Tamandua tetradactyla: one gene and its partners. The protein of the gene in region 1 interacts with the protein of each later gene in a biochemical or structural test. Links are inferred from orthologs where the notes say so. Each region holds a gene or a part of one and is shown on either strand. Other genes may lie near its edges.

Region 1 (9,970 bases):
ACCATCACCTTTGATTATTCCATACTTCTCGTTAGGGGTATTCGGGCTATGGCCATTCTAACTTTTTCAACATTGGAAAGGGCTATCAATAAGGGAGACGGGACTAACCGATGTTCTGGAGAGGCTGGGCCCTCTAGGCGTTAAGACTTATCTGGTCCAGGGACCCATCTGGAGGTTGTAGATTTCTGGAAAGTTACCCTAATGCATGGGACCTTTGTAGAATCTTACATATTGCCCTAGGTGTTCTTTAGGATTGGCAGGAATGGTTTTGGTTGGGGGTTGGCAAGTTATGATAGGTAGCAAGGTCTAACTGAACTTTGTGTAACAGTGACCTCCAGAGTAGCCTCTCAACATTATTTGAACTCTCTCAGCCACAGATACTTGATTAGTTACACTTCTTCTCCCCCTTTTGATCAGGATAGAATTGTTGATCCCATGGTGCCAGGGCCAAACTCATCCCTGGGAGTCATCTTCCAGGCTGCCAGGGAGAATTTCACCCCTGGATATCATATTCCATGTAGCAGGGAGGGCAGTGTTTTCACTTGCAGAGTTGGGCTTAGAGAGAGTGAGGTCACATCTGAGCAACAAAAGAGGTCTTCCAGAAGTAACTCTTAGGCATACCTAATAGTATAGAACTTCACAAATGCTTTTTCATCCTCTGAGATGACTTAATGATATTTTTCCTTTATTCTTTTGATATGGTGAATTACATCGTTTGACTTTTCAAAGGTTAAAACACTCAACTTGTTCATAATAGATTGTCCTTGCTATATAATATTAAATTTGCTTTGCTACTATTTGTTTAAGATTTTTACAACTATGTTAATAAATGAAATTGGCAGATAATTTTCCTTTCTCCTAATATCCTTTTCAACTTTTGATATCAAGGATATGCTGGTCTCATGAAATAGAACTGAGTGGTGTTTCTTCTCTTTTTCATTTTTCCCAAAGAGCTTAGGGAAGATTGATACTTTTTTTTTTTGCATGGGCAAGCACTGGAAATCGAACCCGGGTCTCTGGTATGGCAGGCGAGAATTCTGCCACTGAGCCATCTTTTTAGCTGTTTGGCATAATTAAGAAGTGAAGCCATCCTTTCCCAGAGTTTCTTTTGAAGAAAGGTTTTAAATTAGAATTTGATTTTTTTAAATAGTTATAGGACTTATCAAGTTTCTAGTTCTTCTTGAGTCAGTTTTTGCCAATGGTATTTTTGCTCTCTGTAATTTAAACCCTGTTTTCATTTGTAACAGTTGCCGGAATGAAATATATCTGAAATGAATGGCTTTTAAAAAGGGAAATTTATCAAGTTGCAAGTTTACAGGCATCCAAGGAAAGATACCTCAATTCAAGGAAGGTCGATGGGTCAGACACCAACTCTGTCAGCTGGGTAGTCAGGTGGCTGGCTCTGCTGGTTCCTTGCTCTTGTTACTTTCAGGCTCTGTCCCTGTGAGTGTTCCTCACTTTGCTTCTGTGGAGCCAGCTTTCATCTCTTGACTTCCCTTGGCTCTCTCCAGGTTCTGGCTTGCTTAACATCTCATGATGATGTCTGCTAAGCTCCAAGTATCTCCAAACATGCATGTTTCTGTTCTCTGAAGTAACTGATCTCCAAGCATCTACATCTGTTCTGTCATTGCTGAGGCTTCCGACACTTCTGACTCTCCAAAATGTTTTCTATTTTAAAGGAATCTAGTAAACTAACCAAGATTCACCTGGAATGGGTGGAGGCACATCTCCATCTAATCAAAGGTCACATCCACAACTGGGTATCCCACATCTCCATGGGGATATTCTAATCAAAAGTTTCTATATACAATGTTGAATCAGAATGAAAAGAAATGGCTGCTTTGACAAAATTGGATCAGGATTAAAACACGGCTTTTCTGGAGTACATGATAGATTCAAACCAGCACAAATCCCTACTGTTATATTCTGTCAACATTCATATACCTATATATTTTCCCTTTTCATTCTTCATTCCCATTTGGCTCTGTGATCTTATACTGGGTAATCATTTTCCTTTTGCCTGCTAATTTTTTCGCACATTTCTTTTTTCTTTCTTCCTCCTTCTTCATTTTCTTTTTTTTTATGTATTATTTTAATTTTACTTTCGGTCTTGAAATTCTTGAGAGTTTTCTTTGGCTTGCAAATGGGCAAGGCTTGAAGTGTCAGCGAATTAACAATCCAGGAGCAACCCTGAACTTCTTGGGGAATGGAGTTGATCAATAAATTTCTATATGTCCAGTTTTCTCCCCACTCAGTGGGACAATTCTGAGTGTGTTCCACACAGTCTTTTAGAGGGTCCCCAATGAGACTGAACTCCAATTACCCACAGTGGTAAAACATTTATCAGGATATACTGTTTATTGGCTTTTCTTCCTTCCCTGGCTCATTTCTCCAGTTCCACACAGTGCTTCCTAGGGTCACCTCCCAAATAAGTAACTTTACCTCCAGTTCTGCTTTTGGGGAAATCAAATCTAAGACATGGTCTATCTCAGGGATCCAGCCCTTCAAGATCTCAACACAAAGTAATAGGGGCTCATTAGTGCTCCCCACTGCATTAAGGGCCCAGACATCAATCCCTGTTATCTTAGCCCTGAGTGCTGGTCAGAAGAACTGCTTAGCATTTTGGCTTTTTAGCCTATCTTTCTGGAATTGATATTTATCCCTAGGAGAAAAAGTGGTTACAAACACAAGACTCACCTTCCTGGTTCCATTCTTCCCTTAGGTATTGATTTGGTAATTCATTATTATTTTGTTAGTTCTCTTGTGCCTTTGGGCAGATTTAAATAAATATTTTGTTTAACTTTTCTAATTGTCCTCAGAGGGAGATTAATCCAAATTATCAGAAAGGAATTTTGACTCTTCAAAGAGCTTTTGCCTGTGCCTTGTTTATCTTTATTCCCCTATCTCCATTTCCTCTACCCCCACCCATGCCATGGACTTTCACAACCCCGTGCCTTTATCTTGTTTTCCTCTGTCCAAAATGTGAACCACCAAAGTGTAGAGTCCTGGAAGAGGAGGATTGTCCCAAACATGCCAGCCTGGGACAACAAAAAACATCAATGCCAAGGTAGTTTTTAGTCAAAGATCAAGTGGGCAGTTTGAATGGGCTGCCAAGAGGCCAGACTTCAACAAGGCGAGAAAGTCACAATTCTAGGAAACTCGGCATGAGTAAATCAAGTCAGAAGCAGGGTGGAAGCAAAATGAAAAGAAAAAGATGAAGGACAGATTTGGAAAAAAGAGAAATGAGGCAAGGTATGGTCATCGTGTGGAGCTGGCTCATAGGTACATTTAAAAGGATCAGGTTTAAGCCAGGAATTATATTTGGCCAGAACATTCTTGAGGGCTCAGCTTAATTCTCTTGGCTGGAATCACTTCCTCCTTTAACTTCCATAATACTTTTATTATATTTATCATATCACTTTTTTACTGTTGACTTTGAACAGTCTGTTCCTTCTAAATTTTTAACTACTAGATGGCAGCAGTAGAATCAGAGTCAGAAGATCTGGGATTAACTCTCAACTTCAGCACCTGCCTATGGTCTCTGGGCCTCAGTGTTCTCGTCTATACAATGGGGAGAATATTATTTACACCATAGTGTGACTTGAGGATTAAAAGACACAAAGTATACAAAATGGTACACAGTGAGTTTTTCGTAAATAAAAGCTTCCATTTGCTGAACCTATTATGAACTGCTCTAGGTGCATGAGATACATTATCTCACTCAGACCTCACTATGACCCTTTGTAGCTCTATTATTATGGAATATTTTATTAATAGAGAAAAAAGAATCTGATGGGTTAAATAGCTTAATCAATGTCACAATGTCCTGGTAAGTTACAGAACCAGGACTCAAATCCAGGTCTGTTCTGGCTCTAAACTAGCAGTCTCTATTGGGCCACCCTGCTTCCCCATATTGGTCTTGAACTCACTTTAAAAAAAAAATTAATTTTATTAATTTTTAAATTAAAAAAATATATAACACAAACATTAACATATGATCATTCCGTTCTAATAATCAATAATTCACATCATCACATAGTTGCATATTCAGCATCATGATCATTTTTTAGAACATTTGCATCAATTCAGAGAAAGCAATAAAAAGACAACAGAAAAAATTCATACATACCATACTCCTTACCCCTGCCTTTCATTGATCACTAGTATTTCAATCTAAATTTATTTTGACATTTTGAACTCAGTTTTTAGTCTAAATTAATCTGGGCCAATCTTGGAGATGGTGACCTACAAAAGTGTTCCTTTGTATGTCTCCAGGGATACCTAGCCTATCCTGATTTATAAATTTTCACACATTTCGCTCAAAGGAACTTCCTAAGCAAAAGAGTGTGTGTTTATGTTATGCATTAAGAGGGGAAATGTGACATTTCTACTTAAATACATTTTACATGACCCCTAACTTACGGAACATCCACACAGACTGGACAAGATGCTTTATGTTTTCAGTTTCTGTTCTTAAATTCCTTAAGTTTGAGAGTTCCTCAGAGCTTCTTGTCTTTTTGATGAGATTATAGGAACCCAGAAAAAAGCATATAGAACCATTAAAAAATTAATGTATAGAATTATATACATTATATGTATATAGAATACATACATCATCTTTCATTTAAAAGTAATTTTAAAGAATCATGAATCATTTAAATCAGGAGATTTGAAATTTCCACATTTTGTTTTTGTGTTAAGTGAAGAGGGTGGTGATGGGGGAAATTGGGAAGCGTAGGATTATAAAATAAGTTGCTGCAAAGTCAGCTCCATGATCCTACTATTACCTTCTGGGAAGGTCCTTACATAACTACCTTACTTCTCCAATAAAAATAAAACTGTTTATTTCTTGCTTCTTAACTGTTTTTACGCTGCCACTTGAAATAAAACTGCGGATGCAGGACGAAAAAACAAGGAAAACCCCCTACGAGTCCGCAAAATAATTAGGGTTGCCCCAGGGAAATCATAAGAAGCATACAAGAACTCCTCTTCCTTCTTACACACACACACACACACACACACACACCCTCCCTCCAGAGCTCGCTCCCCGCCGCCTCCTAGCTAACACGTGCTCTCCTGAACACTCACTCCGGAGATTCGCCCCCCCGGGGGGGCTGGGCTCGGAAGCCGAGCCGGCCAATCCGCACGCGCCTTACAGCGTCGTGGCCCGACCACGTTGAGCCGTCCAATCGAAAAGGTCTTACCGCCCGTTTCCCGGAGCCCCGCCCCCTCTCCGTCGTGCCCCCGCCTGCCGGTCTCCTCCCTCCTCCTCCACCCGTTCGCCCCTCCCCCGCCCCTCCGGAGCGGAGCCTGCGAGACGGAGAAACTGGGGCAGAAGTGAAGATGGCGGCGGAGGTGCTGGCGGCGGCGGCGGCTACGGCTTCTCGCCAGTGACGCGCGGTGCGGGCTCATCTCCCTCGCCACCTTCCCTAGTCCGGACCCCGTCCGCCGCCGGGACCACACCGACCCCGCAGCCCGCCCCTCTCCACCCTTCCAGTCGCCCCCTTTCCCGACTCCCGGCTGCCGCTGGCGGCGGCGCGCCTCGGGTCCCAGCCGCCGGCCTCGCACTCCTTCGACCTGTCGCGGGGGGAGCGGGTGGCGTGTTGATCCGCCCTCCTGCCCTCCCCGCCGGGCCGCCGGGCCGCGGACATAACGCCCGGCAGGGAGGCGGCGGCGGCCCCTGCGCATTTGTTTCCCTCCATTTGGGCACTGGGAGGCGGCGGCGGCAGTTGTGGGTTTTGGGGAGGGGAAGGGTATTCGGGGAGGAGGGTGGGCGAGAGAGGGAGAGGGCTGTCCCCGGGAGGAGGACGAGTAGGAAGCACCATGACGTCCATCCATTTCGTGGTTCACCCGCTGCCGGGCACCGAGGACCAGCTCAATGACAGGTAAAAGGGCCGGCCGCCGGGCGAGCGGGGGAGGGCCGCCCTCCCCTCCCCCACGGGGCCGCGCTGGGGCGAGCGCTGGTGTTTACGCGCTGGCCGACCGCTGTTGGGGGGCGGGGGGTGGACGTGGTCCTTGCTGCCCTCGGTTAGGCCCCTTCTAGGGCAAACTTCTTGTCCCTGGGGCCGGGGGATGCGGGGGGAGCGCGGTGTAGACGAGGGACGCGGTGTAGACTGGAGAGAGCGCTGCAGCCCCCGCCCAGAGGAGCCGCGTTGAACTCGGTGGAGATGGGGGGCTCGGTTCCCGGGGGCGGGCTGTAATTACCGCCCAGGCCCGAGGAATCCATATTAGTCAAAGTTGAATTGAGACAGACAATGCGGATGGGGGATGGTGAAGGTAAAAAGAGGGAAGAGGAGAAGCGGAGAAGCGGGGCTTGGGGCTCGGATTGGGCTGGGGCGGGCTCGCCCCGGCCCCTAGGAGCTCTGTCCGGAGGGGTGTACGGAAGCCACCAGGCTTGGGGATCTCGGGAAGAAGCCGATTCCCGGCAGATCGGGGTGGGGGTGGGGTGCGCCGCGAGGGAAGCAGGAAGCGCCATGATTATTGTTATTATTATTAAATTTGAGCCCCTGCAGTGAGCTTTGCCAGCCCGGGGAGGGAATGAATTCCACAGGGGGTGGGGGAGCGGGTTCTCTTTGCTCTCTCTCTTCCGAAACGGTGCTGGCAGTTCATCCTCAAGTCTCTTTGGTGCGAGCTTTTTTGTTTCCTTTTTTATTCTAATGATAGTGTTTTCCTGAGTTGTAATTTGACAGCTGAAGACCGTGCATAGAGTCAAAGGAAAACTCTTACGTTTGCAATTCGCAGTGTTGCTTAACGCGCTGTACATTTCTGAGATGGGTTTGCTATGAGCGGACGAGGAATTATTATTTTTTTGTCTTTTATAAGAAGGCTGTTTTCGCTGTGGATTCCTCTTCATCTCTTCACCAGCGTACCCTGCCAGTTCAGGATATTCAAATTGCAGGGCCGCCTGCTCACCGGGAACTGAGATAAAGCAGGAAAAGTTCCTTTACTGTTGCAAAAACAAGAGACTCAGGAGGTTGAGAGAGGCCTCCATTTAACCATGCTTTAAAATCTAGGGCTCAGATCTAGTGATGGGCATAATGTTAAAAGGGTCAGAAAATGGGGCATTTAAACTCTTCCTCCGCTCCAGGGCTTTATCTGCTATCTGTATTTCTTTTGAATGTAGAAGCCATTTGGTCCCAAATTTAGAAGTTAGGTATAAATTTTTGCTAAGTGACCCGATGACATAATTTGCATGACGCCCTGTTTGTCATTCACTTCAAAGAGGGAAGAGGAGGCTGAATTTGCTGTTAAGATATTGTCTCTGTCTCAGTGTATGTATGTAACCGCCTCAGGTCGGCCAACAGCTTTTGTATCCAAAAGCGGGCTGTTTAGTTTCTGGCACTGGGTTCGGATTTGTCTGATCTTGGCTGTAGCCATATTGTATTTAACATGTGTGTGAAACTTTTGAAATACTTTTTGGAAATGTTAACTATTTGGAGTTGTCACATAGTTCCCTTAAATATTGAGATAACTTTTAAGCTTTTAAACGTTTTGTCATGTGCTCCTTACTATGATTTTATTTTGTTAGAGATCTTTTTAAGACTTCAGCATAAGATTCTTTGTAAATGTAGAAGTCATCGTATTAAGACCAGGCTAGTAGTAAGGATAGGTTTAATGTCGTTCACAGAACCATGTCAGTAGCGCTTAACTTAGAAAATTATTTTCTATATTACTCCTAACGTTATGTATCAAGAATCCTGACTAGTTTACTCAATTGGCTATGCATGTCAAAAACTATTTATTTTACAGTTGTGGTAAATGGTTCATTTTTGCACTTTTTAAATTTTGCTTCATTGAGCAATATACAAGTTATGTCTTTTTTAAGCTACCTTTTCCATGCCTACTGCAAGCAGTTTATCAGCTTATGTTTTTATTACTGTGATGTCTGTGTGTAATATTAAGAATATTTAATCTTCTTGAGTTTTCACTTCCTGAAACAAGGAAAAAGACAAGTGGATTTTATTCAGATCATAAAATGTGTGCATCATTGTGAAAAATATTTGAAAAAGGGAGGTGTTGTACGTAAAATTTTAGGGCTCTCTAGTTGTATCTAAAATGTCTCATCCATGTAGATTTATTTTGTGAAGGCAGTATTTGAGACAGTTATGACCCTGTTTTGAAGTAGTTGACTTGCGGTGGGAGCTGTTCTGTGTCTCCCCTGCAAAAGAAATGATCCTCTTTGCATACCTACTCGCACAGTTATAAGATCAGCTTTTTGCTGCATTGCTTGAGAAAAATCTTTTTTTGAGAGTTTTTCTTTCTGAAACTTTTTAATTGACTGTAACAAGCAGCTCAGCCTATTTTCAACAGATACAAACTTTATTAAGGGTTACTAAGTTTGGGGAAATAGAAAGGAGTGTGCTAATATAGTTTGATTTTTGTTAATTTATTTTTTATTCAACATACAAACATTCTTACAATGTGATCATTCCATTCTTGTTATATAATTAATAACTCACAATATCATCACATAGTTGTATATTCATCATCATGATCATTTCTTAGAACATTTGCATCAATTCAGAAAAAGAAATAAAAAGAAAACAGAAAAAACCCCATACATACCATACCTCATACCCCTCCCTTTCATTGATCACTAGCATTTCAATCTACTAAATTTATTTTAACATTTGTTCCCCCTTTTATTTATTTTTAATCCATATGTTTTACTCGTTTGTCGATAAGGTAGATAAAAGGACCATCGGACACAAGGTTTTCACAATCACAATACAGCTTGATTTTTATGAGAAACATGTCTATGATAGTCTCAAAGTGAAAACTAAGTTTGGGCTGGAAAAGGGTATAAATAAGTAGACTTTATTCTTTATATGGAAAGCAGTAAGATTAGACAGGCAGTATGATAGAGCAAATAAATTGTTAAGTTAAAAATTTGGGGGCCTTAAAACGTCAATATTCTTCAAATATGCTTTCTTTTAATATCCAAATTCTGTCAAAAGCCATATATTTTAATAGTCTGATATCTCAAACATCTAAAGTGTACTCAGCATTAAGAAAAACAGTTGTATCTGATAATTTATTCTTAACTTGTGTTTCTAAGTTTGCTAATACTGATAGTCTGCATATATTGGATTGTAATTTGTGCCTAATTATTGGCCCACAGAGACCAAATAATGAATGAATGAATGAATGGGGATGGTTAAGACAAAAAGAGAGAAATGCAAAGTCTGGGATGTTGTGGCTTACACATGTGATTATAAGGTCTCTGGCAGGAGTGGGCAGCCGCTCATAAATATTCATTCCGTTGAATTGAAACCATTTAGTGCTCTAATACTTTTTTATTTTTCTGATGAATATCCTGGACTTAGTGCTGGGTTCCTACTTAAAACAGAAAGTTAGGGCTGTGTTCCTGTTTAATACATTGTCTCAGAGAAATAGCAAACCAATACCAAATTCATGGTTCTGCATGTTGAGCTTGAAGGGAGAGCTGAAAGTGACTGTTCAGGACAACGAAGTCCTCTCACTAGGCACATGAAGAAACAGGCCCAGAAAATGTACAGAATTTATTCAAGGGCACACAGTTACTGGCAGATGAGGGCCACATCTTGGGTCTTCTGACTTCCTTTTAATTAAAAAAATTTTTTTTTCAGTTCTGGGTTCTTAACACTGTTCGACATAGATGGTATTCCAGAATACTTTTGCCGTGAGAGATATCCCAGCCTTTGTACCCATCTGTCTTAGATTTTTTTTCCCCCTTTCCCTCAACTCCTCCCTCTAGGACTTCTGATCAATCTGTGCCTTTTGTCTGGGAGCTCACTGCCTTAACCAGGAGAAGCCTTTTTAAGGTGATATGGGTAACCTACGACTTGTTGCCCCTGTCTTGAATTATTCTTCAGCATACAGTTTGCTTACAATACTTGCTAGTTCTGTTTGTCTGTATGTGCAATTTTCTTGTGAGCTTTGCTTTTTTTGGCACAGTAATGTGTTGTGCAATCATAAGCAGCTTTGACTG
Region 2 (9,861 bases), on another chromosome or scaffold:
GATTCCCGGAGCCTGCCCATGCCAAAAAATAAATAAAAATGATAATGTGTATGTACTAGGGTTAATCATCTATATTTAGAATTAACATTTCTGATAACTGACATTTGGCTTATGTTTTCTTTCATAATTTCATGCTTACTTTTCTTATATTTTCTTTGCTAGTTCTATGAAATATTTTCCTCCCACTTCTTTCTTCCCCCCTCATCTTCTGAGCTTGGTGGAAATAATTTAGCACTACCAGATCCATATTGTTTTAAATTATAGTCTATCATTTTAAAGAATGTTTAAACACAATTCATATTATCTTGTACTTACATTTTACGAGATTCACTGCTCATCATTGTTTCTTGTACTCACCATCTTCCCCTAAATTGTTTTGGTTGAGTTTTAACTAAGCTAAAGTATTTCCTCAAAAGGGTACTAAGGGCTATATATTTCTAAGCTACTACACGGCCAAAAAAGTCTTTTACCTTCATATTTGAATAAAATAAAATATTATTGAGTCTTAAATTTCAGTCCTTTCCTTCAATAATCTACAGATATCCCAGAGTATACTGTTATAAAAAATTAATTTACATTATAAATATCTTGTTTCAGCTGAGAGCGTCAGATGTTTTAACACTTAAATTCAGAAATTTCACCATTCTGGTTAGACAAGAGTAATTTTTTCCTATTAATGTTGCCTGTCAGTCAGCAAACCCTTTCAATCTACAAATTCAAACTTTTATTAAACTAGTAGTCCCTTCAGCAGAGTTGGTGAGAGAGAATCAAGAAAGTTTTGTATTCAGAAGTATATCAGAACTACTGAATTTTTTGTTCTAATGTTTGGCAGTATAGACAGCATAAAGTAACGATTAAAAGCATGGGTCTGGGGTGGTGCGATAGTGGCTCAGTGGTGGAATTCTCGCCTGCCATGCCGGGAGATCCAGGTTCGATTCCTGGTGCCTGCCCATGGGGAAAAAAAAAAAAGCATGGGTCTGGAATTCGGCTGCCTTTCAGTTATGTGACCTTGGAAACCTCTGTCACTCAGTTTCCTCTTCTGTATATGGGTAAGAATTACAGAGCCCGGCACATAACATTTAAAAATGTTTATTAAAACATTTAGAGTACGCAAAAGTTGTTAGAACAAGGTATAAAGCAGAAATCACAGGTCCTAAAACTGTAGAGAGGAAAAATGTCACAAAGAATCCCAAACTGAGGCTATAACCCTAATCTCAACTGTAGTGTAACCAGGGTGATCAGGTAAGAATAAAAAAGGCTCAGTACTGCCTATCATCACTATTAAAAGCTCAATGCCCATGAGAAACGCCATCCTTATTTATAAAATGATATAAAAAATAATAAAGAGGCATTTCGAACCCTCTAAACCTATGCTATCTAATAAAGTTGCCATTAGCCATATGAGGCTCTACAACTTTAAATGTACACACAAAAGTTTAGTTCTACAGTTGCACTAAGCCACATTTCAATGCCCACTATAGTCAGCAGCTACCTTACTATTCTCTACAACAGTATTAAGAAAAGATAAAAAGAATGAATTATTGGATCTGAACCTCAGGCTGCCTCAAATGCAAATTATTAATGCACTTGTGCAACATGGTGGTCCAGATCACAAAGGTGATAACTTGGACAACTTTAATGTTGGACCAGGCAGAAGAACTAGGTTCAAATACCAGATGGACATTGGATATGTCATTGAATCACAGGCATCACAGTATAATGGTTAAGAGCACACAATCTATGGATTACTTGGATTTGAATTCTAGCATTCACTAACTGTTTACAAGCGGGTGAATTAATATTTAATTGTTATATTTATTTTAAAGTATTACCTACCTCCTAGAGATATTAAGATCATTAAATTAGGTTAATATTTATAAAAACACTTGAAAGATATCTAGTAGTACTAAGTATTATATAAGCATTTGCTAAATAAAATAAAAATAAAATCTATTTCCTCAATTTCAATATAGGGGGATAAACTTACTCTGCTCACTTCAGAGGCTGTTGTGATAATATTTGGTATATAGAGGTAAGAGTATAAAAGTTCTCTAGATTACAAGGAAGGAAACAGGGACCTTATTTTCTACCTTCTTTAATATCCCACAATATTCACTAATACTGCTGTGGTAAGTAAACATTTCATAAAATGTTTATATCTTCATCAAAACTGGATCACCAAGCTCTAGAGTCATAAAGGCATGAACCTGAAGAAGGCACAGGGTGCTTATTCACGTAAGTCTGCTATAAACCTACACTGTCCCAAGTTAGAAATTACATACTACAATTTGAGCTCTTAAGGAGCAATATATTATAATAAAAACGCTCCCAAGACTTTAAACATTACAGTGAGTCTCCATTCTCTAACTCCAGTTCCTTAAGAAAGAGAAACACCATTTTTGGTTAAGTATCTATCTAAATTTGTGATAGATAGTTATCTATGAGGAGTAGTGAAGTTTTGCTCACGTTCACAATCAACAAGCAGAGTAAAAAGACTAATTTGTCCCAAATACCCTATTTTTCACAAACAGAAAGCAGTCACAAAATGACAAAACACTGGGATTCTCATTAAAAATCATCAGAGACCCATTTCCTATTTGCAAACACAAACTGCAGCAGATAAGTTCCAAGCCTATTTAGCAAAAATGAAAATCAACACCTAAACAACGGCTCAAATGCAATTTGTGAAAAACAATGCCACCAGGGTAAAAACAGGATTAGCCTACACATACAAAACGGGAATATCTGTCTTCTGTTGAAATGAACAACGGTGTTCAGCTATGCTAAACCTTTTCCCAAGTGAAACTGGAAGCTAAATTCTTTCGAGTGTGGATTTTCACGAGGTGACGGGGTTGCAAAATCACAGGACAGCAAAAGGAAGCAGAAACGGCTCCTTCTATGAATCATTAGAAAATACCACTACTGGCTGCTTCAACAAACGTTTTGAAAAGAAAAGTTCACCACAAGTCCTATTGGGGGACGGGTACAGGAGTAAACACAGAGTATTAGAGAGGAATTAAAAGGTAAAAGGATCAGAATCCAAGACAGTCAATTGGATGGGCCGTCAAAGTTCATGTAGCTCAAAGTTTGCCTGGAGTAAGGGTCTTCAGTACACCAGACAAAGGTCCTACTATTCAGAGCATGGGATACAATTTAACTAAAAATAAGGGGAAGGAAAGGCGAAGAAATGGTAGAAAGGGGCTCAGAAAAAGTACAAGACCGCCAACGGTTCCAGGCGCTCCACTAGAACACACGCTAGCCAGCTAGTCCCTCTGTCCCCTTCTCTCCCTATACCACCCCATCCTCACGTCGGCGGGGGCGCGCAAGCGCAGCGAGTAGGGGTGCGCGCGGCGACGCGCAGGCGTAAAGTGGGTAGAAACAATGAGCTTTGTTGCCGAGGCGGCGTGGGGGGCAGGGAAAAGGCGGAGGGAAAAGGGACTGGGGAGGAGGGAGGACGCAGAGGAGGGGGGCCGGAGAAAGTGCTATCCCGGCAAGCCCCGCGCTCCACCAAGTACCCGGATAGAAAGCTGCCAGCCCCAAATCATAAATAATGACAATGAGAAAAAAAAACGACGGCCATTTCCCAGAGAAGAAAGAAGTGAAGTCAGTTCAAGCTTGTCCCTCACACTCGGGGGAAATGGACAAGGAACAAGGGAGACCATACAGGGGAGCGGTAGCTAACAACCCGCCGGGGACCTTCTAGGCCTCTCAAGCGTCGCTGAGGTACTGTCCCTCACCGCCGGGGCCGCTGCACCTTTCTCGCCGCACCGACCGAGGGGATCCCTCACCCAGTGCACGACAGCGGGGACGGCAGCCAACGAATCCTGTCGGCCTCCGCGGATCTCCACAGGCAGCGCCGCTTCCCCGCTCGACGTGCGCTTCGCCCGCCGCCTCCCTTCTTCAGTCCAAACAAACACCCCAGCCCGGAAGTGACTTCACTTCCCCCTCCGCAGGCCCCGCCCACCCGCCGTCAATTCTGCTCTCCCGGGCCACTAGAGCGCGCGCGAGACAGTACGCTCAAAGGTCTCCTAGTCTCCGAGGCTGCACGTGTGTGCACGCGCAATGGCCGTTTGTACGCAACCCCGTGGCGGGCCGCGAGGTATTTTGGGAGCCCTATGGGGAACACTGGGAGGAGTGCGAGAAGCGGGAATAGGGGCGGGGCCGGTGTCCCCACGCCTCTCATTCTTTGGGAAAGATGAAATACAATGGGTGGGGGATCTGGGGACAAAAATAGATTCTGACAGATATCCAGAAGTGAACTCTTAAATACACTGACATTTAAATAATGATGCAGCTCATTCACACACCCAGATATACATGCCAAAAGTGATAGTGTCACACTAACAATGACAAGCACCTATTCACATCGAGATCCTGACACAGAAATATAATAAACATAAACTAATTCAAACACAGAGGATATAATAGATGATCTACAAGCAACTGCATTCGGACATATACAGGCACACACTCTGTTGAAGTTGGACCTTTTACACAGAGACGAAATATAGGAATACATGGTTCCCAAGCAGCTGTGGAACCAGGGTAGAAAGCTGAGACCGCAAGGCTCTATGATTTTCTAGGGCATGGTCCTGGGTGCGCTAACTCATATTGCTCATTAGTCTAATTCATGCTTCCTCGCTGGCCCCAAGATAGCATTTTTATAGTGAAACGAGTCAAGTACAGAATAGAATACAATATTTGTAAGAAAAAAAGAAATTTTGAATATGTACTGCATTTGAAAGAGGACACGCAAAACTGATCATTTCTTGCCTGTGGAAGGGAAAATGATGAACCTGAAAATGGGTGAGATTCACCTTTTATTATAATCTTTCAGAAACTTTTCTATCATATGCTTGTAATATCTATTAAAACAAACAAAAATTCCCACCATGGGAAGGAATGAATCCAGAAATATGTTATTCCCTTTGAGGACCATTTCATTCATTGAAAACCTGCTTTGAATCAGTTCCAAAGCTCCAAAGAAGTGAAAAACACAAGCGTTCTGCCCTAGCCCCTGGGCCAACCACTTTGGCCATATTTGCACATCTGTATCCTAACCTGGGAGAAAAAGTTTGGCTTTGCTGTCTTAAAGCATACAGCTCTAGGAGGAAGGAGATGATGCTGTTTTACTAGTCTGTGAAGTATATAATTCATGTAAAATGAGGAACCTGAGAGATAAGCTATCAGCCCAGAGGCTGGAAGATGCATGAACAGGAGGGAGAACAAAAATCAAATAGGTTTTTAGATTATCTGTAATTGACCCACTCTTAAAAGCTAATCATGATATTGCTAATTGCCAGCTTGCCAACCCCCAACAAACCACTACTGTCAACCCTAAAGAACACCTAGAGCTTTAGCTGAGGTTCTACAAAAATTCCACACACTAAAATTACTTTCCAGAAACCTACAACCTGTAGATGAGTTCCTAGGCCAGATAAGTCCTCAAATACAGAGGGGCCTGCCTCTGCAAAAATATCAACTAGGGGGCTGTTGGTCCGCCGCGGCAGCGCATTGCGAGCGGGCGTCTCCGGGCGGGAGCGAGCAGGGATGCTCCGGCGGGCGGGCGGCGGCGGCAGCCGTGTGGGTTGAAGTGGCTAGAACAGCGCCCCCCCCCCCCCCTCGGCCTCTCCTTTGAGCGAGCCGCCAGAGCTGCGCTGCTGAGGGCCTTTCGGCCTCCGCTCCTTTAGCCTTGGGGCCCGGCCCGTCGCAATCTCTGTCCGCCGAGGCCTGGAGCCCCTGCCTGGGCCCGCAGCCTACCTACCTCGGGCCGGCCGCTCTCCACACCGGGCCACTGAGCCCCACTTCCTGCTCTTTCAGTTACCCTGGGCAGAGGCGGATGGGTCTGGATAAATTGTCCCGGGGGCTCCCGTTGAGGTGGGCCGGGGGACCACGCTCTTTTTAGAGGGCCCCCGTGGGACCCGGGTAGGTAAGAGTTTTTCTTTGCATGGGCGGGGGACTCCCCGAGACTGCCGGGACCATGACCTGAACTGTGTGAGCGGAATGTGTCCGAAGCTCGAGAGACAGCTCACCTGAGCCGCACCCTCCCCAGACCAGCATGTCATCTGAAGAAGCCTCCCTCGGGGCTTTGGAAAGTCTGATGACAGTTCTTCCATAATTGTACGACCAATGAAAGAAAACGTGAGATAGAGAAGCTTCTTGATAACTCTGCCCAGCAGACAGGAGCCTGGAGGTTCTGCCTGTATTTTCTCTCCAGCACTAGGAATGACTATGTAATGATATACAGTTTAACAGTTTTTGAGAATTTGATCAATAAAATGTGGCTTGGGGTCCCCTCTCAGGATAAGATGGAAATCCATAGCTGCCTTCCCAAACTCCTTTTGGCTCACCACAAAACCTTACCTTACCTTTATCTGGAACAAGCTCTGCAAAGTTATTGTTGATATTGGCCGTCAGGACTGGCCCATGTTCTACCACGACTTTTTTACTAACATTTTACAGTTGATCCAGTCCCCTGTGACAACCCCTCTTGGGCTGATCATGCTGAAGACGACTTCAGAAGAGCTGGCTTGTTCCTGGGAGGACCTCAGTGTTGCACGGAAGGAGGAGCTGCAGAAGCTGCTGCTGGACCAAGTGCAGACAGTACTCGGGCTTCTGACAGGTATCTTGGAGACTGTCTGGGACATGCACAGTGTTACTGCTGCCACTCCATCACCATCCCCAACCTCAGGAGTAAGTGGTTTGGACTGCTGCCACATGTGGCATATCTCTTCTTAAATGCAGTTGGGGGTCTCAGCAGGGCAGCGGCATCTCATCTAGGCCAGTTTCAAATGATCTGTCCTTAATCTATTTCTGGCCTTTTCCCCCATGTTTTCTGAGTTCTAGTTTTCTTAGTTCCTTGTAAGTAATTACACTTTCTCATATAACATATATATTTAATTTTTTTAATTTATTAAACAAACCAACATACAAGCACAGGTATTCTTACCATATGATCATTCCATTCTACATGTATAGTCAGTGACTGATGGTATCATCATATGGTTGTATGTTCATCATCATGATCATTTCTTAGAGCATATGCATCAATTCAGAAGAAGAAATAAAAAGAAAACAGAAAAAAAATTCATACATGCCATACCCCTTGCCCTTCCCTTTCATTGATCACTAGCATTTCAATCTACTAAATTTATTTTGACATTTGTTCCCATCATTTATTTATTTTTAATCCATATCTCATATCACATTTTTTTTGAAATTTTAAATATTAATTACCTTCTATTTTCAGTACCGTGAAGTAATCTCATATCACATTTGATCAACACATTTGTTCCTTGCCTTTCTAGTTGTCTTGGTTCCTCTTAAGTAATTGTATTTTCTCATATAACATTTGATCAAAAAAAAAAGAATATCAACTAGTTCTATCCCCCATTCCATATCTTTGACACTTTCCAACATGAAAAAGTTAAAATAGACATAGCCCAGATACTCCTAACGATTGAGAGAAGGATAAAAGGAAGAGGAGTTATAACAGAAAAGTTAGGATTTAACAAATGAGTATGACTGTTGAATCATTATATTGATATTTCTTTTTAGTCTTGTGTCTTGGAGCAGCTATAAGGAAAAACCTAAAATTGTGGAACTGTAACCCATACCAAACTCTGAAATCTGTTCTATAACTACTTGTTACAATGTACTTTGAAATGTATTGCTCTTTTGAATGTTATATATATATATAAAGGTATCTATTCTTCAGCTAGATATTGCTAGTTGCCACAGTTCATCAAACCCCAGCTAACATCATTAGCCCCGTTAACCCCGAAGAACACCGAGGGCTCTGAGGACCTACAAAAGTTGCGTACATTATTTACTTTTCAGAAACCTAAAACCTTCATATGGTCCCTAGTCCAGATAAATCCTGAAACCCAGAGGTGCCATTCTCTCCAAGAACATCAGCCAGTTTCATCCCCTTATCCCATATTGCTGACATCCCTTTTCAACATGAAAAAAGTTAGAATGGACATAACCAAAAAATCTCTAAAGATTGGGAAAAGGATCACATGAGGAGATATAACAGAGAAGTTAGTATTTAACAAACGAGTATGACCACTGAATCATTTATTTCTTTTAGTCTCTAGTGAATTTGAGCAACTAGAAAACCTGAAATTGCTTCTTTTTTTTTGCATGGGAAGGGACTGGAAATCGAACCCGGGTCTCTGGCATGACAGGCAAAAACTCTGCCACTGAGCCATCGTGGCCCGCCCTCTTTTTTCTTAATTTTGAGATCTCTTATATATAAATACTTGTTACAATGTACTTTGAAATTTATTGTTTTGCTTTAACTTATGTGTAAGACTAAAGCAAAAAATGTTTATTTGGTACAAAATTTATAATTTGAGTAGTGCATTTCCTAATATAATTTATGTGGGCAGTTGTGCTCGTTTGAAATGTATATGACCCCTAGAAAAGCCATGTTTAATCCTAATCCCATTTTGTAAAAGCAACCATTTCTTCTAATCCCTATTCAGTACTGTGTGCTTGAGACTATAATTAGATCATCTCCCTGGAGATGTGATTTGAGTGGTTGTTGAGCTGGATTAGATGGAGGCGTGTCTCCACCCATACAGGTGGGTCTTGATTAGTTTCTGGACTCCTATAAAAGAGGAAAAATTTTGGAGATTCAGGAGATTCTGAGAGAGCAGAACAACATAGTCACGAGAAGTAGAGAGCCCACCAGCCAGCGACCTTTGGAAATGAAGAAGGAAAACGCCTCCCCGGGAGAGCTTCGTGAAGGGAAGCCAGGAGAGAAAGCTAGCAGATGATGCCATCTTCATCACATGCCTTTCCAGATGAGAGAAACCCTGACCCTGTTTGCCATATGCCTTCTCACTTGAGAGGAACCCTGAACTTCATCGGTCTTCTTGAACCAAGGTATCTTTCCATGGATACCTTTGATTGGACATTTCTATAGACTTGTTTTAACTGGTACATTATCTCAGCCTTAAAACTGTAAACTAGCAACTTATTAAATTCCCCTTTTTAAAAGCCATTCCATTTCTGGTATATTGCATTCCGGCAGCTAGCAAACTAGAACAGTTTAATTGAACACCATAAGTACAAGAAATCTTGAGTAGGGCATGAGATTTTGTTGGTTCTGTCCAGAGTAATGCCCTGATCCCAGTGATTTGAACAGTGAATAAAAAGTATCTGCAAAGTCCCTTTGGGGGAATGGTGAGAAAGGGGGAAAATTCAACTTCCCCATGTGGAGAATTCCTGATATTCTCACAAGCAGTGGGGACAACCAAAGCAATAGACCAAGCCTTCAATCTTGGGGTTTGTTCACATGAAACTTATCCCTGCAAAGGATAGGCTAAGCCTACTTAAAATTAGGCCTGTTATCCCCAAGAGAACCTCTTTTGTTCTCAGATGTGGCCTCTCTCTCTCTCAGCCAACACAACAAAAAAAACTCACTGCCTTCCCCCTCTCTACGTGGGACATGACTCCCAGGGTTGTGGACCTTCCTGGCAACGTGGGACAGAAATCCTAGGATAAACTGGGACTCAGCATCAAGGGATTGAGACAACCTTCTTAATCAAAAGGAAGAAGAGTGAAGTGAGACAAGATGTCAATGGCTGAGAGATTCCAAACAGAGTTGAGAGGTTTATCCTGGAGGTTATTCTTACGCATTATATAGATATCACCTTTTTAGTTAAGGTGTAATGGAGAGGCTGGAGAGAAGTGCCTGAAACTGTAGAGCTGTGTTCCAGTAGTCGTGTTTCTTGAAGATGATTGTATAATGATAGAGCTTTTGCAATGTGACTATGTGATTGTGAAAACCTTATGTCTGATGCTTTTATCTACCTTGTCAACAGACGAGTAGAACATATGGAATAAAAATAA
Region 3 (10,167 bases), on another chromosome or scaffold:
AGCTGACTCAGATGCCTGGTTCAGCATCGGATGGGGGCAGCAGACGGTAGGGGCTGAGGGCCGGACCCATTTCTCATTTGACTCTCACTGGTGGTCAGAGGGGCCATTCCCTATATTTTGCAGAGCAAGAAACTGAGGCTCAGAGAATTTGAGTGGCTGGCCAGGGTTTGCTGAGCAAGTTGGGGTTGGCTAGGGTGGAGTGGGGTAACTGACTGATGGGTGGGCACTTTTCCTGACCTTGGCCTACTTCCCTTCACCTCCAGGTATGGAGACATGGTGCCCAGCACCATTGCTGGCAAGATTTTCGGCTCCATCTGCTCACTCAGTGGTGTCTTGGTCATTGCCCTGCCCGTGCCAGTCATTGTGTCCAACTTTAGCCGCATCTACCACCAGAACCAGCGTGCTGACAAACGCCGAGCACAGCAGGTAACAGCATGTTCCATCTGAGCCCCTCCTATCCCCCCTCCACCTTGCCACCAAAAAACAACTCTTGGGTTTTCCTACCTGACCTTTTACCGCCTCCTCTCTCTGTAGAAGGTACGCTTGGCGAGGATCCGGTTGGCAAAGAGTGGTACCACCAATGCCTTCCTGCAGTACAAGCAGAATGGGGGCCTTGAGGTCGGTAGGGTCCCGGATTGGGTGGGAGGGGGTTGAGCAATGACAGGAGAAGGAAGGTGCTGACTTGTTCCTCTCTGTTCTGTCGACTCCAGGACAGCGGCAGTGGGGAGGAACAGGCACTATATGTCAGGAACCGTTCTGCTTTTGAGCAGCAACACCATCACCTGCTGCATTGTCTAGAGAAGACAACGGTGAGGCTTAATGAGAGGAGGTGTGGCACAATGAAGTGGGGGTGGGGGTCAACACTGTTGCCAAGCTAGCTCCGTACCTGGAATGGGAGGCTCACTACTAATTGCGGAAATCCTGGAGGACTTCCTGGAAGAAGTCACGAGAGAGCCGAGCCTTGAAGGGGTGGACAAGGAAAGGGAAGTGAGAGTGACTTCCAGAGAGTGGGAAGGTGGGACCAGCCTCTGTGGTGTGCCCTGTGATCTTGCTTCCCTTCTTCCCACAGTGTCATGAGTTCACGGATGAGTTGACCTTCAGTGAGGCCCTGGGAGCTGTCTCCCTCGGTGGCCGCACCAGCCGGAGCACCTCGGTGTCCTCCCAACCAGTGGGGACCAGCAGTTTGTTGTCCTCTTGCTGCCCCCGCAGGGCCAAGCGCCGTGCCATCCGCCTGGCCAACTCCACTGCCTCAGTCAGCCGTGGCAGCATGCAGGAGCTAGACACACTGGCTGGGCTGCGGAGGAGCCCTGGCCCTCAGAGGTAAGCATCCCTCTCACCTGCTGGCCATATCTGGGGTAGTGCAGATCTTGGACCAGGAGGTCTGAGATTTCCTGATTCTAAGTGCAGCCAAATCAAGATGGAACCCGAACTCCTCCATGTTAGGTATGGAACTCCTTGTTCTTCATTCATTTATTGAGCACCTACTGAATGCCAGGCAGTTTTAGGCACATGGGTTGAAGCAGTGAACAGAACAGACAGAAAACCCTGTCCTTCTGGACCTTATATTCTAGCAGGATGAGACAGTTAATGAACAAACACATATGCAGATTGTGTAGCATGTTAAACATTTGTAAACATCGAGGAGAAAAATAAATCAGGCTGGAGTGATAGAGTGGAGACCAGGGGCTAATGCAGTTTCAGCAGTGTAGTCAGGAAGGGTTTACTGAGGTGATGTCTGAGCCAAAACTTGAAGGAGTTAAGGGAGTGAGCCAGGGAGATATCTAGAGGAAGAGCTTTATAGGCAAGGGGAACAGCCTGTGCAGAGGCTCTGAGGCAGGACTGTGTCTGTATGTTAGAGACACAGCTTCCTACTGTGGTTGGAGTGGAGTGAACAATGGGGAGTGTGGTAGGAGTCAAAATCAGAAAGGAACGCAGAGGGGGGCAGATTATGCAATACCTACTGTAGGCTATTGTCAAGACTTGGGTGTTATTATGAGCAAGCATAATAAGTGACTTTTTTTTTGCTCTTAGTAAGAGGTTGTAAAATTTTATTTTTTTAGATAAGTCAAAGGTTTACCGAATAATCATGCATAAAATACGTACAATACCAAGTTCCCATATACCATGGTATTATTGAGACTTTGCCTTCATGTGGTATTTTTGCTATAATTCCTGAAAGAACATTTTTATCATCGTACTATTACCTATGGTCCATCGTTCACAACAGATGATATTTGTGTGTGTGTGCTCATTATGTTCCCAGGCCCTGTTCTGAGCACTTTATATCATTCGTTATCTCATCTACTCTCCGTAACAACCCTAGGAGGTAGGAAATATCATTATTCTTTTGTTACAGATGAGAGGAAAGAGAGGCTTGGAGTGGTTAAAGTGGAACCGGGATTTGAATCCAAGACTATCTGACTCTGGAGCCCGTACTCTCTACTACCATGATTGAGGATATAGGGGAAGCAGTTAGCACAGTGCCAGGTGCTTGATAAATGCTAGTAGGAGCTCAATAAATGCCATAATTACTGTGGCAATGATTAAGACATGACTTTTTTAAAGAGCCTTCCATCTTCCCCACCCTTGTCCACAGCCGTTCAAGCCTCAATGCCAAGCCCCATGACAGCCTTGACCTGAACTGCGACAGCCGGGACTTCGTGGCTGCCATTATCAGTATCCCTACCCCTCCTGCCAACACCCCAGATGAGAGTCAGCCTTCTTCCCCTGGCGGCGGCGGCAGGGCCAGCAGCACCCTCAGGAACTCCAGCCTGGGTACCCCTTGCCTCCTCTCTGAGACTGTCAAGATCTCTTCCCTGTGAAGGGTGGGCCTACCCAGCCAGAGGGCCCTCTCAACTCTTGGGACCTCCTTTCCAAAGCCATATTTTGAGGAGGCACAGAGGGGTAGGCCTGGGGACCCCTTCTGCCCTCCAGTGAGAACTATGCAATGGAGTTTCATAGAACTGCTCACCTGGTAGGGAAATAACCAGGAAAAAGGAAACTTCTCCCACTCCAGATGATTTTCCTGGTGGGAGCTGAAGAGCTGGGTGTCTGCAGGCCCCCAGCTTCCTTGACCCAGCACTTGGGGACTGGTCCCTCTCCCCTAGCTGGCCCCCCGCATGCCCCTACTCTCAGGCCCTTAGAGGTAGGTAAAGCTCCCATCTGTCATCTTAGCTCTGGTCCCAGTAGGAGAGCTGAGATTTTTTTCTTCTTTCTGGCTGGCCTGTGGAGGTTTGGGTGTTCAGAGAACATAACCTTCACTTCTGATCTGGTTGCTAGGAGAGGTCCCCACTCTCTACCAGGCCCAATGACTCCCAGACCCTGAAGCTTGGAATGCAACCACAGGCTTCCATGGGCTATGGCCTCAGCAGTGACCTGCCATCCCTAGGCCTTGTCTGAGGGGTCAGGTCACCCCTGCCAACACACACAGATAGCACAAACACCTTTTTCCCTGGCTGCTGGAAATGGGTCCCTGCAACCCGTCCTCTGCCGGGCCTCCAGCAAACTCTAGCAATAGCAGCTGCTGCTCTGACATTATGCAAAGCCTCTGCCCAGTTTGCTGCAGCATTTACATTTTCCCTAATCAGAAGGGCCACCTCTAACCATTCCTCCCTTCTCTTCTCTGGTTTGCTTCCTTCCTGGGTTGGGCTGGAGGCTGGACTGACTGAGATAAGAGTCTAGCAGCCAGCAAGTGCTTGGCTGTGTGTGGAGATCTTGGGCTGGAGTCCAGAAGCATAAGGGATCTGAGACCTGGGTTGGTCCTGAACTCTGGGAGTTGTAGGAGGCAAGAGGAACTTCACGATCTCCTCCTCCTCCTCCCCCAAAACTCCTTTTCACATATTCTTCTCTCTTCTCCCTCTTGGGTCACCTTCTGGAACTCTGTGTCTGCTCTCAGGCTGAATTCTGGCATCATCTCAGGTTCCCTGTCCCTAGCACTGTCCCCGTGGAGCTGGTGGCTGACAAAGATGTAGTTTCCATCAGTCAATAAAATCTGAGAGGAGAGATGAGGACTGAGCTCCTCCTGGCTCTGGGGGCTTGGGAGCTGGGTTGGGCTGGCGGGTTAAGAACACTCTGATTTCCATTCCTTTCAACTAGTAGAAGGGCTGGTGTGGTTAAGGTATAGCAGGTGGATGGTTAATGATATGTTCTGGAAGATGGGGATCTAGGAAAATGCCCTGGGACATACCCCTCGGACATTATCTGATTATTCAAGATGGGGAAACTGAGACCCAGGGGAGCACATAGCTGGTTGGAGGAGACTCAAACCCAGGTTTCCTGGTAGCAAGCAGCTCTGAATTTAATCCTAATGAAAAGCATCCCTGAGTTTGGTGCATTCCTTTTCCTCGTGGAGGTCCCCTACATTCTCTCTTTTGGGCTACTGATTATACTAGGTTGGTGTATGACTAGACTCTGTGGAGCAACAAGAAGACAGACCTTGAATTCAGGTTGACCTGGGTTTCAATTCCTGGGTGAGAGAATCACTTACCTTTTCTTGTCTGTCTACTAACCTGTACAATAGAGATAATCACTCATTTGTTCACCAAATATTTATTAAACACATATCACACGTTTATTCTAGGGATGCAAAGATGGGTAAAGTGGACGTTGTCCCTAAACTAGAGAGTTGAACACAGAAGGCAAAGACAATTAAGCAATTACAATATAGTGTGGTAGAAGAAAGGTAGATGGGTTACAAGAGCATAGAGATGGCAGGAGAACCTAACCTTGCCTACACATGAAAAATGAATTGGAGTTAGCCATGCAAAAGGCAAGGGGGCGGAAACGACTTGGGCAGAAGGAACAACATATGCAATGACCTGGAAGTTAAGAGAGCGAGCTCAGGGTATATAGAGAGCTGAAAGTACTTCAGTATGGCTGGGGAAGAGTTAGGCTGTGATGAGGGTGAGGATGTAGAGGTAGGCCAGGTCACAAAAGACCTCTGAAGCTATGATTCAGATTTTGGACTTCATCCTAAGGTTAATGGGAACATCTGTAGGCCTATCCACAGGAGAGTCATGGTGAGGCTCATGTTTCAGAAGGCTGTGAAATGTGGAGTTTTATAGAGCGAGAGTCCTGGAGGCAGGAAGAACAGTGAGGCTTTTCAGTATATAGTTGGGAAGTGATGGTGGTTTGGACCAGAGTAATGGCGGGAAATTCGGAGTCAAGAGATTTTGGAGGGAGAATTGGCAGGTTTGGGTTGACTGGGAGTTGAGGGAGAGGGTAGCAGTCATGGTTAAGTCCCAGTTTTCTGGCTAGGGCAACTGTTGGATGGTGGTGCCATTCACTGTCAAAGGGAACATTAAGGCTGTTAGCCACACAGAGCCAGGAACATAGTAAATACTTAGCAAAGGTTAGCCATGATTATTCTTAAGAGCTCAGTTTTACATGTATAGTGCTGAACAAATATTCAGTAGGAAGTGGGATATGGCTCTGGAGTGAGATAATCTCGAGAAGATTCAGTGTGATAATGTGCATAAGTCATTTGACATAGTGGTCCAGGAAATGTAGGCCCCTAAATGTGTGCCCCTCACTTCCATAAAGTTTCATGAGCAGAAAACACCCCTAGAGCCCGTTTATTACTGGCACCCCTCAGGGAAGAACTTGAACTTGCTAGGCATCTGAAGGGAGAAGATAGGTGGCTTTCAGACGAGATTTCTGATGGTTTCTCTTTCAACCTGTTGTATAGCTTGCCTCCTAAGATTACAAGGACCGCTCACGTTTCAGAACTTTTTGATTCATGAGCCCATCCATCTGAACACCATAATTACTCCCTGAGGTTGTCTAGACAAACATTATCATTCACATTTTGCACGAGTAAACTAAAACAAAACAACAACAAAAACAATACAATGAGTTGCCTAGGGTCACACATTTATTTGGTGATGATCCATCCGGGACTGGGATGGAAATCTTGTCTCCCGAACCTGGGATCCTTCCACTGTACCGCCACGGAAACAAAGTTACTGAGCACTATGTGCCAGGCACAGCACCAATCCCTTTACAAACATCAATCTCTGATCCTCATTTTTAAAAAACCGGAATCATCGTTGGCATTTTAGAGAAGTACAAATTGAAGACGGTGCGTGCGTTAAATGACTTGCCAAGGATCATTCACACAGGCAGGGCAGAGCTAGGATGAGCTTGCTGCTCTCCAGCCGCTCAACAGCAGGGATTTTTTTACCAACCCCATTGTGAGACGCCAGCCAGTGACAGAGTCGGTTTGCAAACATTCACTAGACCCAAGCAAATTCAGTATTTCAGAAAAATGCTGTGCCGCGCCTGCGCTTTAGCTGAAGGGGCGGGGAGGTCAACGCGAGGGCGAGCTTGCCGTAGTGCCCAGAGAGGGCGTGTCTGCTTCCCAAACACCTACCGCTCCCTCGGAGGTTGCGTTTCTGTCCCAAGGTTGGCCCTTCCGACGTGAGTGACGGCGTCTCCTAGCAAACCAGCGCAGAATCCGGCCTGTTGCCAGGGTGAAGCGGCACCCGCCTCTCTGCCTGATGGGTTTTTGCAGGTGGGTGGGACCGGAAAGACGTTGCAGGGGCTGCTTTGCACTGGAAGTGTTGATGTTTTCCAGTCAGTCCGGCTGACTGCGGCCAAGAGTGCGAGCCTGGAGGTGAAGCGTGCTCGTCACTCGGCGCGGCACAGGCCGCACTGGCCTTTCGCAGTACCCACACCTGCAAAGCAGAGCCTCGGGAAGAAAAGCGAAAGGCAGGACGAGGTCAACGGGAAGAAAAGCGGGAAGCAAGGGTGCAGACTTTGAAGTCTCAAGGTGGAGGGCTCGGAGGGCCAACGCTCGCTCCTAATTGGCCCGTGGGCGTCGTTGAGAACCCGCGCAGCTGATCTGATTGGTTGGTGCCCGTAATTGTTGTGGCGGCAGTGGAGATTTTGCCCACGTACTTCCGAGCGAAGGGCGGGCCGGTATCCCGGCGCGCCTGCGTAGCGCCGCCCAGGCCCCACCCGGTAGTTTAAGAACCTGCGAAGGGGGCGGGGCGAAGAGGGCTTGTTTTGGTTCTGTTTCCCTCGAAGCAGAAGGCCGAAACGAGCGTAGCAGTAGACGTGCTGGACTTGGAGAGAAGGCCACGACAAACTCGCAGCGGTGCCTGCATCTTGGACTTCACATCCGATCTCTGCCAGCGTGACTCGGGAGCGACCGACAATTCTCGAACCGGCGTCTCAATCCCTTTATCCGGGTCCCGCCGTTCCCGGCGTGCTTCGCGCACCATCGTAGAACCCCCCCCTTCCCATCCGGGTCCCGTCCCGGCGTGCCGCGCGCCGGGTTTGCTGGGGGGTACTCCGTGGTGCAGCCATGACTATTCTCCCCAAAAAGAAGCCGCCGCCTCCCGACGCCGACCCCACCAACGAGCCGCCGCCGCCTGGGCCGCTGCCCCCGGCGCCGCGCCGCGGCGGGGGTGTGGGCGTGGGCGGCGGCGGCACAGGCGTGGGTGGCGGGGATCGCGACCGTGACTCGGGCGTAGTGGGGGCCCGTCCCCGGGCCTCACCACCACCGCAGGGCCCGTTACCCGGCCCACCGGGTGCACTTCACCGCTGGGCGCTAGCCGTACCGCCTGGCGCTGTGGCGGGTCCCCGGCCGCAGCAGGCCTCTCCGCCTCCGTGCGGGGGTCCTGGCGGTCCCGGCGGCGGTCCCGGCGACGCGTTAGGTGCAGCGGCGGCGGGCGTGGGCGCGGCGGGCGTGGTGGTGGGCGTGGGTGGTACCGTGGGGGTGGGCGGCTGCTGCTCTGGGCCGGGGCATAGCAAGCGGCGGCGTCAAGCCCCTGGGGTTGGCGCGGTTGGCGGGGGCAGCCCCGAGCGAGAGGAGGTCGGCGCAGGCTACAACAGTGAGGACGAGTATGAAGCGGCCGCAGCACGTATTGAGGCCATGGACCCTGCTACTGTCGAGCAGGTAAGGGCTTGGGAGGTGGTGGTGGCGGCGAGTGGTGGGTGGTATGGCTGATGGGATCCTCAGACTGGTTGGGGATCGGAGGAAGGCTCGTTTCAGATCACCTCGAGGGACCTGAGCTTTCTCTCAGGGCCTGGCACCCCTTTTTCTAGGGGTAGTGGCCCGAGACATCACTCCCTTCAGAGGACTCTGGGTTAGAGACCTAGATAAGATGGGGAACTTAAAGATGGGGTCTGAAGCCTCTTCTAGGGTTCATAGTCACTCGGGGCTTTAGGCTCTCAGCTGATAGGGCCAGTAGGTGAGAAACCCTCAGGGGACACTGGCCGGATGAAGAGCCTCCGGAGGAGTGGGAGTGGCTGATCTCAGGCCTCTCTCCAAGGTAACTAGATCTATGTTCCGTGGTTCAAGATCCTCTTTCCCCGGTGATAAAAGCTGGAGACTTCTCCTCCGTGGAACTCAAAGGAGGTGGAGACCTTAGTGATGGAGTCTGAGCATCCCAAAGTATTTAAACCTTTTCAGGATTGTGAGACATTTTGCCTGGGACAACCCTCACCTTCCCTCTTTCCCAGGGAGATACAGTATAGGATTGTTCATTAGTGAGGTCTGAGACATCCTCAAGGGTCCTAAGGTTGCCTTTAGGGACCTGAAACTCCCCTTTTCTAGAATCAACAGCCTGACACACATACATGCATACTCTTTAGAGATGATACAAGGTTTTTTGCCGGGTTATAAGACATCTCTTAGGGAAGTGAGAGCCCCCTCCCCCTTGGGGACAAGTGCCAAAACCTACCCCCAGGGACCAGAATCTCTACTCAGGTACATGAGACTCATCTTTCCTCTGAGTGACAAGGATCTGTGCTTTCCCTTAATGTATTGAGACTACTACTCAGGGAACATGGGCACCATAGTGTTCTCAGGGATGGGGTCTGAGGCCTACCCAGGGATCTAAGCCTGCCTTGAAGGGCCTGAGTTCTCCCATTTTGGGGCCACGGACCTGATACTCACTCTGCCAAGGAGACTTGGAGCTTTCCCTCAGGGACAGGAGACCCACATACATACCACAGTATGGCTGTGTCTCTAAGGATGAGGACTGGACTTCTCCCTCAAGGAACAGGAGTATTCTTTCCACCCCACCCCCTCCCCCAGAATGGAGCTCTGAGATGTTTCCCTTGGGACATGGGATACATGGATGCAGAGGCTTGAGTGTCCCCATCCCCATGGTCCCCCCACTTAAGCATTTGAACTTTCAGATACATAAGATCCTCCCCTCTCAGGACCTGAGACTTGAACCTGTCCTGAGGATACTGTCTGTCACCTCATCTCAGACAACATACACACACCCAGGTCATAGGCACCTTTATGGATATAAGATTTCTTGCCTTGGAGACTTGTGTCTGAGAATCCTCTCCCCACTTGTGAACTGAGTCCTGAGAACTCCCCATTCAACTTGGGGACACCAGGTAGGGTGAGATTCTGAGACACAGGCTCTGAGCCTTTTTCCAGGGGCCTGACCTTCCCCTCAAATTCAAGAGATCTTTCCCCTTTTGAACTGGGGCTGGAGCCTTCTTTGAGTGTGCAGCTCCCTCATCCCTCCCTCACCCCCCCCCACCAGATAATTCATTCTCACCAGGGAAAGGTACCTAAGGTTCTCCCAGCGTGGCCTAAACTTCCTCTATTGAACAGAACAGCCTGAGTGCCCCTTCAGGGTCATAAGAATCCCTTACCCTAAACCCTCTCAAGGTTAGGGCCAGGAAGGTTCCCCTACTTTCTAGGGGATCTGTCCTGGGACATGGAATCTGAGGCCTCCCTTCAGGAACTGGAGGTATTCTGAGTCTGACTCTGACTCAACTATGCTTGCTTCCCACTTCCACAGTCTGGGAAATATTCTAAGCTTCCTGAACTCCTGTATTTGAGAAGCTTTCTTCTTTTCAGGGATAGGGAAAGGGTTTGGGGCCTCCCCACTCCAGGGAAATTCTTTTCCCACATCCCACTCACCCTTGATGCACTTCATAGGGACCAGGGCCTTTTCTTGAACCTTCTGTTCTCATTCTCTTTCCACCCATCATTTGTTGTTTTTTCTCTCCTGAATTGGGGTGAAGTCTGCCTTTCCTCCCCAAAGGAATAGGGAGTGATCCATCCCTGGACCCAGGGAGAGAAAGAAAGAAAGTCCTATGCTGTCATGATGGCTAGAAAAACGCCTCCCTTCACCCCCTTTGCATCTCCTAGTTTGGGAGTCCCTCCCTTCTGCTTTTTCTCATAAGAACAAGGAG

What was found.
Region 2: the proteins of UBR5 (region 1) and PAIP2 form a complex in vitro, tested with the Homo sapiens proteins (2 studies listed by BioGRID and IntAct, with this or other methods). The link is inferred for Tamandua tetradactyla from reciprocal best matches to the Homo sapiens genes UBR5 and PAIP2.
Region 3: the proteins of UBR5 (region 1) and OTUD5 form a complex in vitro, tested with the Homo sapiens proteins (2 studies listed by BioGRID, with this or other methods). The link is inferred for Tamandua tetradactyla from reciprocal best matches to the Homo sapiens genes UBR5 and OTUD5.

The regions. Positions count from the first base shown.
Region 1 is NC_135332.1:146,896,763-146,906,732, reverse strand, and holds the start of UBR5 (E3 ubiquitin-protein ligase UBR5), read left to right. Parts: upstream 1-5,599; 5' UTR 5,600-5,823; coding exon 5,824-5,885; intron 5,886-9,970. UniProt on the Homo sapiens protein: E3 ubiquitin-protein ligase involved in different protein quality control pathways in the cytoplasm and nucleus. Mainly acts as a ubiquitin chain elongator that extends pre-ubiquitinated substrates.
Region 2 is NC_135346.1:19,192,991-19,202,851, reverse strand, and holds the start of PAIP2 (polyadenylate-binding protein-interacting protein 2), read right to left. Parts: upstream 3,939-9,861; 5' UTR 3,789-3,938; exon of another isoform or gene 3,738-3,788; intron 3,292-3,737; exon of another isoform or gene 1,988-3,291; intron 1-1,987. UniProt on the Homo sapiens protein: Acts as a repressor in the regulation of translation initiation of poly(A)-containing mRNAs. Its inhibitory activity on translation is mediated via its action on PABPC1.
Region 3 is NC_135353.1:121,199,926-121,210,092, forward strand, and holds the start of OTUD5 (OTU domain-containing protein 5), read left to right. Parts: upstream 1-6,444; 5' UTR 6,445-6,848; exon of another isoform or gene 6,849-7,029; 5' UTR 7,030-7,306; coding exon 7,307-7,900; intron 7,901-10,167. Other genes in the region: A-type voltage-gated potassium channel KCND1, read left to right, coding at 264-426, 535-618, 711-809, 1,070-1,320, 2,597-2,822. UniProt on the Homo sapiens protein: Deubiquitinating enzyme that functions as a negative regulator of the innate immune system. Has peptidase activity towards 'Lys-48'- and 'Lys-63'-linked polyubiquitin chains. Can also cleave 'Lys-11'-linked ubiquitin chains (in vitro).